Saccharomyces cerevisiae S288C: one gene and its partner. Changing the gene in region 1 together with any one later gene gives a genetic interaction. Each region holds a gene or a part of one and is shown on either strand. Other genes may lie near its edges.

Region 1 (6,251 bases):
ATGTCACAGTCTTTTGCAATGGTTATTTTATTTCTTAAGAGACGGCTGAAAATGGACCATGTTTATTGTTATATAAATAATTCGTTTGCGCCAAGTCCGCAGCAAAATATTGGTGAACTTTGGATGCAATTCAAGACTAATGATGAGCTTATTGTAAGTTATTGTGCATCCGTAGCGTTTGGTTAAATACCCGGGCGCTGGAATGGTCTAAGAAGAAAACCTACAGTCGATCAAAAATCCCGTACGATATTAAATAGAGTAGTTAACGTACTTGAGCGTTATAAACTCACATTTTCACTCAAGAAGAAAATGGAGAATGGAGACATGGTAAGTGAAAGCATTAAGGAAGAAACACAGTTAGCACGTATTTCATCGAAAGTGTTTGATTACTTTCTATTTGGCATTTAAATATACATGGGAACATAACTAGATAAAATATACGCCATATATAGTACAGCTAGTATTTTCAGATGTCATAAAATATAATTAACGAGTAAAAATTACTTTTTTTGGGATGGGGGTAGGGTTTCTTCTTCTAGGACAACCAACAAATCTGATGCGTCAACACTTTCACCATCCTTAATGAAAACGTCTTTAACTTGACCATCTGCTGGTGAAGAGACAACCATTTCCATTTTCATGGCACTCAAAACAGCAATCGATTCGCCCTTTTTCACCAAAGACCCTTTATGTACTTTAACTTCTATGATAACACCAGCCATTGGTGCACCGATTTGGTGAGTATCGTGGACATCAGCCTTTGGTTTAGCAACAGATTGTATGTTTTGTGACTTGTCTGCAACTCTGATCTTTCTTAATTCACCGTTCAATTCAAAATACACTTCTCTTTGCCCAGTTTTCTTATTTAAGTCACCAACAGCTTGCAATTTGATAATCAAAGTCTTACCTTGTTCGATGGTGACTTCGATTTCTTCATCAGGTTCTGCTGGTGCTAGGAAATTTTTGGTTGGTAGAACTGATAAATCACCGTATGTTTCTCTGATCTTTTGGAAATCTTCATAGACCCTTGGATACATATTGTAAGAAGCAACATCGCATTCATCAATATCACCGAATCTGTTCTGCAAGTCTTCTCTAATTTTTTCGAGATCAAATGGTTCTAATTCTAAACCTGGACGGCACGTCAACTTTCTTCTCTTGTTTCTCAATACATCAGATCTTAATGGTTCTGGGAACCCACCGTATGGTTGACCAATTAAACCTTCAAAAAAGTCCATAACAGAGTCAGGAAAGTCCAAAGAATTAGCTAAACGTCTAATATCGTCGGAAGTCAGTTTGTTAGAAACCATGAATTGAGCTAAATCACCGACAACCTTAGAAGTTGGGGTAACTTTAACAATATCTCCCAGTAGGTAATTGGCTTCTCTGTAAGCTCTTTTAGTTTCAGCCCATTGTTCACCAAGACCCAGTTGTTGAGCTTGGAATAACAAGTTAGTCAATTGACCACCTGGGATTTCATGTTGGTAAACTTCTGGATCTGGTCCCTTCAAGTCGGCCTCGAAACAAGAATACAACAGTCTCATTTCGGCCCAGTATGCATCTAATTCACGAACATGCTCAACGTTAATCCCAGTATCAATGTTACCTTCTAATGAAGCCAACAGTGCATTAATTGATGGTTGGGAAGTTAAGCCCGACATTGAATTGATAGCTACATCGACAACATCAGCACCTGCTAGGGCACATGCAGTCATAGACGCAACAGCAGTACCTGCGGAGTCATGACTGTGAACATGAATTGGTAAATCCGGATATCTGGTTCTTAGGGAGCCAATTAATAATTTGGCAGCGGCCGGTTTCATAGTACCTGCCATATCCTTAATACCCAAGATATGTGTACCCATTTGAACTATTTTTTCAACAACTTCTAGGTAGTAGTCTAAGTTGTATTTCTTACCTGGCTGAAGCATGTCACCAGAGTAACAAACAGTAGCTTCGACAACACCACCGGCCTTCTTGACAGCATTCACACCAACTTTTAATTGTTCTAAATCATTCAAGGCATCAAAAACTCTAAATATATCAACACCATTATCCTTGGCTTGCTTGACAAAATGGTCAATAGCATTGTCAGGTAATGAAGAGTAAGCCACACCGTTGGCACCACGTAATAACATTTGGAATGGAATATTAGGCACCAGAGATCTTAATTTTCTCAGACGTTCCCATGGATCCTCATGCAAGAATCTCATTGCAACGTCGAATGTAGCACCACCCCAACATTCTAAAGCGAAAGCACCTGCAAGGGCATGTGCGGTTGTTGGAGCGATTGTAGCCAAATCGTGGGTTCTGACTCTTGTTGCAAGTAGAGATTGATGAGCGTCTCTCCAGGTGGTGTCCATCAGTAGAGTACCATTGAACTGTCTGACTTGCTTGGCAAATTCAGATGGTCCCTTTTCCAGTAGCACTTGTCTCCATCCGGATGGTGGTGCAGACTTTGTAACGTTGATGACATTGCCCTGAGCATCGTGCAAATGGGGGACACTTGGATTTGATTTTAGTTTTGGCAAGCCAATTTGACCCTTAATAGAAGAACCGTTAACTGCCAAGTCTGCCAAATAGTGTAACAGTTTTTGCGCTCTGTTTTGTGACGATACCATTTGGAACAGTTGTGGGGTGTCGTCAATAAAAGTCGTCCAGTATGTACCCTCAATAAAAACTGGATTGGTCAAAAGAGTCAATAGGAAGGGAATGTTGGTCTTAACACCTCTGATTCTGAATTCGATCAGGGCACGAATCATCTTCCTACGGACGATTTCATAAGTAGAACCAGAGCATGAACATTTGACCAGCATTGAGTCGTAGTGAGGCGAGATAGTAGCACCTGCATAAGCGTTACCACCGTCCAATCTCACACCATTACCACCGGCAGAACGATAGACCTCCAGGCGACCGGTATCCGGTTGGAAATTCTTAGAGGGATCTTCAGTGGTAATACGACATTGGATGGAAAACCCACGGGTGGTGATTTTATCCTGTAATAGACCTAGTTGAGTCAAAGTGGCACCTGCGGCAATCTGGATTTGGGCAGAAACAATGTCAATACCGGTGATTTCTTCAGTGATGGTATGCTCCACTTGAATTCTTGGATTAATTTCAATGAAATAGTGTCTGTTTTGGTTGTCAACCAAGAATTCGGCGGTACCTGCGTTTCTGTAACCACATACCTTAGCTAATTTAACAGCATCTGTCAAAATAGCGTCACGAACTTCACGGGGCAAAGTCTTTGCTGGAGCGACTTCGACAACTTTTTGGTGTCTTCTTTGCACAGAACAGTCTCTTTCGAAAAGATGAACCACGTTTCCGTGGTTATCAGCCAACAATTGAACTTCAATATGCTTTGGCTTGTCCAAGAATCTTTCCACAAAGCAGGTACCATTACCGAAGGCAGTACGGGCTTCGGAGGTAGCACGTTGAAAGGCATCTGCCACGTCGTCACCTTCTCTAACGACTCTCATACCTCTACCACCACCACCAAAGGCGGCCTTAATGATCACCGGGTAGCCGTATTCATTAACGAAGTCAAGTGCCTCTTGCACAGTTTCGATAGGTCCTGGAGTACCGGGAACGGTAGGAACGTTAGCTCTTGCTGCCAAGTGTCTGGCAGAGACTTTGTCACCCACAGAGTCAATAACTTCAGCTGGAGGGCCGATCCAAGTGATACCGGCCTTCACTACTTTGTCGGCAAATTCCGAATTTTCAGACAAGAACCCATAACCTGGATGGATGAAATCCACCTTATGCTTCTTTGCAATTTCGATGATCTCGTCCATTGCCAAGTAAGCACCCACAGGTGTATACTGGCCCTCCTCCCCGATAACATACGCTTCGTCCGCCTTCAACCTGTGCATTGAAAGACGGTCCTCATGGGAGTATATGGCGATGGTTCTCATAGACAGCTCATGAGCAGATCTAAAAATTCTAATCGGAATTTCACCTCTATTGGCGACCAAGATCTTATTCTTTTCGCCGAGCAAACTGAAATTGTCCCTAAGACCGGCCAATTTCTTGCTACTGCTCATATTTTATTTTGTTCTCTATGTCCCTTATTTTCTCTCCTAGTAACTGTCCTTTATTTTGCAATATAGTAATTGGCAAAAAAATCAAACTCAAATGACGGGCCACAGATAGTAAGCTACAAGAGTTTGGAAGAAAAGAGGGGCTTGTTTATGTATGTAATCAAGTAAGGATACCGAAAGTAAGAGAAAAGAAAAAAGGACTAAAAATCACAGAAACACAATAGGAAATATCCGATGGGGAGTACTTCTTACTTAACACTCCCTGCGCCAATTCTGACTCTTATAATAAATAGCTCGAGACGTAACTGCCAAAATTGTAAAAAAAAAATGAAAAACTATTAGAAAATTAATTGCGAAAAAAAAAAGGTTAGTCATATGTGCCTTTGCGGCGTCTTCCGCAGGAAGGACCCCTCTCTGCCAATCACAGAAGAGCTGGCTGTGCCTGTGCGGTACGCTATCAGCAGCTGCGTCGGGTAAGGGACACGTCGTTAGTGACAATCGTGGTTAGTTTTCGTACAGAAAGATGACCTTAATTGATAATTAAAGTATAGAAATGTCGTATAGTATATTTTTCCCTTGCATGGAAAAAACTGGGATAATGTGATGATTCTCATTAACAGATTTACACTGGTATTGATACTCATTTTGTTTCTGCTTCCTGTAGTACATAAAAAGATCTTGTAAATATTACGATACTCGTTAAAATTTTCTTGAACGTAATGTCGTACAATTCTTGTTTGAGGGGTCGTTACGTACATCTCCAGGAACTGATTGGCAGACTTTGTAAATGGAGGATTTTCCTTTTCAAATATCCAAAATATAGGAAAAGTCCGACTACAATACATATGAGATTGGTGATGTAATAGCCGTCACGCAGGATGGTCACGGTGCCATTCAAAAGCTCGGTGCACGCTTGCATGCTGCCGCCGTGAGTTACGTATACTTTATTTGTGCCAGGAATAGTGCACTGATACACGGTGAAGTAGTTGATCATGGACATAATGATTAACCGCGGCCATGTCCCACCGAAGTTGCTGAGGGTATTTAACAATGTCATATATGTGCCACCCAGCACGGGGTCTGCAACTCTTGTATGGAAGGCCGATATTCCAATGAACTGGACAGTATTCATGAAGGAACCTAAGAGGTGCTGGAATATCACGAGACAAAAATAACCCGTGGATATTTCACCATCCTTGGGGAATTGCTTCACCACGTAACTTCCCAAGACCGCGGCTGCCAGACGGCCCAAAAAGCCCCACAACCATGGTGTTAAAACGCCGGCATCCCCAACTAAGAACTTGATGACCTTGTTGGTGCCCGTGCTGTTTCTTAATCTTCTATTGTCACGAATCATGGGGTCCTTGTCGGAGCTCCATTTAACAACATAGTACCCAAATATGATTTCGAACGGCAGGTCTATGAGTACTGTCACAGCCAAGTCTTCTCTTTTGAAGCCTTGCTCTAGTAGTTTCAGGTTTGTGGCGGCTTCGTTGCATTGAAAGGCAAATTTCGAAATCATGTGAATGAAGGCTAGGCTTCTTACGGACTTCAATTTCAACACTTTTATAAAGCAGCGGTAAATGTACTTTATACTGCTTGTATTCTGAGTTGACACCACATCACCGTCGTCATACTCAATACTTATCGGCTTTGACCCTCCGTCACTTGTATTTATGGGCTCCACTTTGGGCAAATACTCTACGTAGGGTTTTTCCTTGGTGCAAAAGATGATATATATGGTTATTACAATGTAAAGCATGCCCGAGAATTTCATGTACCCACCAAGACTAATGAACCCGTGATCCAGTGGGATGTTTCTGAAATACTTATTGGCGAAATCAGAGGAATTCAACGACAGGAAAATGGTAAATGACATAAAATAACCAATATTCAAACCTATTGTTTGCGCGGTAGATGCATATGATAGGGATTCTTTGGACAAAATCGTCAACGCCCAACCATCAACTGCGATGTCTTGAGTGGCACACAGAAAAACTAACAGGCCAAACCACCACGTCAAATTTTTTATACTGACACTGTGTAAAGTGCCATTACCGCGATTATGGAACGCATCGTCGACACCATCGAAGATTATGCCTTGTGATATGCACCACCCTAATGCCCATAGCACAAATCCACTAACAAATTGTACTGGAATGATCCATGATCTTCTTCTACCGATGCGCTTGTTGTACAGTGAGTCTACTA
Region 2 (4,297 bases), on another chromosome or scaffold:
ATTCTTATTGTTAGCAAACGGTTCAGAAAGAGATGGAAATATTGAAGGTTGTTGTTGAGAAGAAAACGATGACTGCTGATCCTTCTGTTGGTTGTGTTCTCCTGATTGCTCTTTCAAATGCTGAAGCTCTTGGCTCGAGGGTACCTGTCCGTTGGAGACCGCATTATTATTACTGTTAGCTTGCACTGCAGTATGTAACATATTCAGCAACTCTCTACCGGGATCAATCTGCTCCTCCTTAGTGATACCCAACAACAATTTCAATTGTTCTTCCGCATAGGATTTCAATTGATCTTCATTTTTTATTTGCCTCTGATGCCTTAACCACATTGATAAGGGTCTCATCATGGAATTAATCAGATAATACTTGATATTTGATTTGTACATTGTTTTAGAAATTTTCTTAAAATCGAACCATTCTATCTTATCAATTTCATTTCTAACTTGAGGTTTAAAATTGAAGACTTCTGAAACACCAGATATCAAAAATATTTTGTAATTTTTACCTTGAATATTTCTTTCAATGAATTGGTTGTCGTCAATATAGTCCGTCAAATCGAAACCAATTTCTTCTTTCACTTCTCTAATGCAACAATCTATGTCATTTTCATCTTTAGATATCTTCCCCCTTGGGAATGACCAAGAATCCGATTCAGTACCCTGTACCAATAAAATTTTACTCAGGTTCTCGTTAAATATGGCAGCGCCCCTCACCGGTATACTTTTCTTATACTTGGAGAATTGCTGGAGTGCCTCATCCACTCTTATGTCCCATTTCCAAACCAGAGGACATAGTTTTATGATCAATTGAGCAAATGATTTAATCTTTAGGGAGGGTAAAGTTGGATTCATCAATTTGATGAAATCCGTGTAAAACCATGAGGCTTCTTCAAAATGAAATAACTCTCTCTCGACACTCGATAAATCTTCATTCGGACAATTTATAATAAAACGTACTAATAAGTCCTCTAAAATTCTATCAACAGAAGTAACGTTCTCCAATGCGTGTCGTAGCGGCAGTGACATTGTCTAATGCGAAGGTACTTTTATTTTTTTCAGATTCAAAGCAATATTATTTAGACAATTGATACTAAGTGAGCTTAAGGAGGATTAAACAACTGTGGAATCCTTCACAAGGATTCAATATTTGTTTTTCCTGGTTATTTTGCCATCATTCAACTTTCCTCAGACGTAAAATTCGTGCTTAGTGATGTCTCAATATTCCCGCAGGGTAATAAAATTCAATAACTATCACTATATACGCAACAGTATTACCCTACATTGCTATCGGCTCAATGGAAATCCCCATATCATAGCTTCCATTGGGCCGATGAAGTTAGTCGACGGATAGAAGCGGTTGTCCCCTTTCCCGGCGAGCCGGCAGTCGGGCCGAGGTTCGGATAAATTTTGTATTGTGTTTTGATTCTGTCATGAGTATTACTTATGTTCTCTTTAGGTAACCCCAGGTTAATCAATCACAGTTTCATACCGGCTAGTATTCAAATTATGACTTTTCTTCTGCAGTGTCAGCCTTACGACGATTATCTATGAGCTTTGAATATAGTTTGCCGTGATTCGTATCTTTAATTGGATAATAAAATGCGAAGGATCGATGACCCTTATTATTATTTTTCTACACTGGCTACCGATTTAACTCATCTTCTTGAAAGTATATAAGTAACAGTAAAATATACCGTACTTCTGCTAATGTTATTTGTCCCTTATTTTTCTTTTCTTGTCTTATGCTATAGTACCTAAGAATAACGACTATTGTTTTGAACTAAACAAAGTAGTAAAAGCACATAAAAGAATTAAGAAAATGGTTAAGGTCAGTTTGGATAACGTCAAATTACTGGTGGATGTTGATAAGGAGCCTTTCTTTAAACCATCTAGTACTACAGTGGGAGATATTCTTACCAAGGATGCTCTAGAGTTCATTGTTCTTTTACACAGAACTTTCAACAACAAGAGAAAACAATTATTGGAAAACAGACAAGTTGTTCAGAAGAAATTAGACTCGGGCTCCTATCATCTGGATTTCCTGCCTGAAACTGCAAATATTAGAAATGATCCCACTTGGCAAGGTCCAATTTTGGCACCGGGGTTAATTAATAGGTCAACGGAAATCACAGGGCCTCCATTGAGAAATATGCTGATCAACGCTTTGAATGCTCCTGTGAACACCTATATGACTGATTTTGAAGATTCAGCTTCACCTACTTGGAACAACATGGTTTACGGTCAAGTTAATCTCTACGACGCGATCAGAAATCAAATCGATTTTGACACACCAAGAAAATCGTACAAATTGAATGGAAATGTGGCCAACTTGCCCACTATTATCGTGAGACCCCGTGGTTGGCACATGGTGGAAAAGCACCTTTATGTAGATGATGAACCAATCAGCGCTTCCATCTTTGATTTTGGTTTATATTTCTACCATAATGCCAAAGAATTAATCAAATTGGGCAAAGGTCCTTACTTCTATTTGCCAAAGATGGAGCACCACTTGGAAGCTAAACTATGGAACGACGTCTTCTGTGTAGCTCAAGATTACATTGGGATCCCAAGGGGTACAATCAGAGCTACTGTGTTGATTGAAACTTTGCCTGCTGCTTTCCAAATGGAAGAGATCATCTATCAATTAAGACAACATTCTAGTGGGTTGAATTGCGGACGTTGGGACTATATTTTCTCTACAATCAAGAGATTAAGAAATGATCCTAATCACATTTTGCCCAATAGAAATCAAGTGACTATGACTTCCCCATTCATGGATGCATACGTGAAAAGATTAATCAATACCTGTCATCGGAGGGGTGTTCATGCCATGGGTGGTATGGCTGCGCAAATCCCTATCAAAGACGACCCGGCAGCCAATGAAAAGGCCATGACTAAAGTCCGTAATGATAAGATTAGAGAGCTGACAAATGGACATGATGGGTCATGGGTTGCACACCCAGCACTGGCCCCTATTTGTAATGAAGTTTTCATTAATATGGGAACACCAAACCAAATCTATTTCATTCCTGAAAACGTTGTAACGGCTGCTAATCTGCTGGAAACCAAAATTCCAAATGGTGAGATTACTACCGAGGGAATTGTACAAAACTTGGATATCGGGTTGCAGTACATGGAAGCTTGGCTCAGAGGCTCTGGATGTGTGCCCATCAACAACTTGATGGAAGACGCCGCCACTGCTGAAGTGTCTCGTTGTCAATTGTATCAATGGGTGAAACACGGTGTTACTCTAAAGGACACGGGAGAAAAGGTCACCCCAGAATTAACCGAAAAGATTCTAAAAGAACAAGTGGAAAGACTGTCTAAGGCAAGTCCATTGGGTGACAAGAACAAATTCGCGCTGGCCGCTAAGTATTTCTTGCCAGAAATCAGAGGCGAGAAATTCAGTGAATTTTTGACTACATTGTTGTACGACGAAATTGTGTCCACTAAGGCGACGCCCACTGATTTGAGCAAATTGTGATCTCCCTTGCCCCAGTGTACACATATATAAAAATATATTCATGCCTATATGATTATGTATCGGAATCCAAAAACTTATCTTTATATTGCTTCGTTTCGTAGTTAGCAATGAATCATCTTATCATGATTCCTTTTTTTGTTTTGGCCAGATTAATGTATCACGGTCGACGGCGAAGGCATCAACCATTGTTGTGGAATTTCAAACACAATACTTGATGACTCCAAACGTGGGCATATATTTTGATTTGAAAAGAAGTCGAGAAAGTATAGCAACGCATTGTATACGTTTGAAGCTTTCAGCAAAGGATATACCGTGGAAATGTACACGCCTATCCCTGCTAATACCCCTGCTCCCACTGCACCAACTTCATCGATGACGTCCAACTCTTCATCCGCATCAAATGCCAACACCACTAGCAGTAGTGGCATAAACCCAAGGAACAGAGCCAGTGGTACTCCATCCAATGAGCGGGCTCGTCCGGCGTCGGGTATCAGTTCGTTTTTGAATACCTTCGGAATTAGGCAAAATAGCCAGACAGCTTCTTCTTCTGCGGCTCCTGATCAGCGTCTATTCGGCACAACCCCATCTAACTCACATATGAGTGTGGCCATGGAAAGTATCGATACCGCTCCGCAACAGCAGGAACCACGTCTGCATCATCCTATACAAATGCCTCTGTCGGCCCAGTTCCACGTTCATCGCAACTATCAACTCCCCATCTCCATATCTCTCACTGCCCCTACAACCACAGACCACCAGCAATCATCTGCGCATAATTTCGAAGGCAACAATGTTGGTAACGTTCAAGAGTCT

Evidence for each region.
Region 2: of PYC2 (region 1) and MLS1, extra expression of one rescues a mutant of the other (dosage rescue), as found in Saccharomyces cerevisiae (one study listed by BioGRID).

The regions. Positions count from the first base shown.
Region 1 is NC_001134.8:658,207-664,457, forward strand, and holds PYC2 (pyruvate carboxylase 2), read right to left. Parts: upstream 4,044-6,251; coding exon 501-4,043; downstream 1-500. Other genes in the region: ATG12 (Atg12p), read left to right, coding at 1-186; YBR219C (uncharacterized protein), read right to left, coding at 4,293-4,375, 4,797-5,097; YBR220C (uncharacterized protein), read right to left, coding at 4,789-6,251. UniProt on the Saccharomyces cerevisiae protein: Pyruvate carboxylase catalyzes a 2-step reaction, involving the ATP-dependent carboxylation of the covalently attached biotin in the first step and the transfer of the carboxyl group to pyruvate in the second.
Region 2 is NC_001146.8:404,539-408,835, forward strand, and holds MLS1 (malate synthase MLS1), read left to right. Parts: upstream 1-1,819; coding exon 1,820-3,484; downstream 3,485-4,297. Other genes in the region: DCP2 (decapping enzyme complex catalytic subunit), read right to left, coding at 1-1,026; ubiquitin-conjugating protein DMA2, read left to right, coding at 3,803-4,297. UniProt on the Saccharomyces cerevisiae protein: Malate synthase which takes part in the glyoxylate cycle. MLS1 activity is essential for cells to grow on oleic acid as a sole carbon source.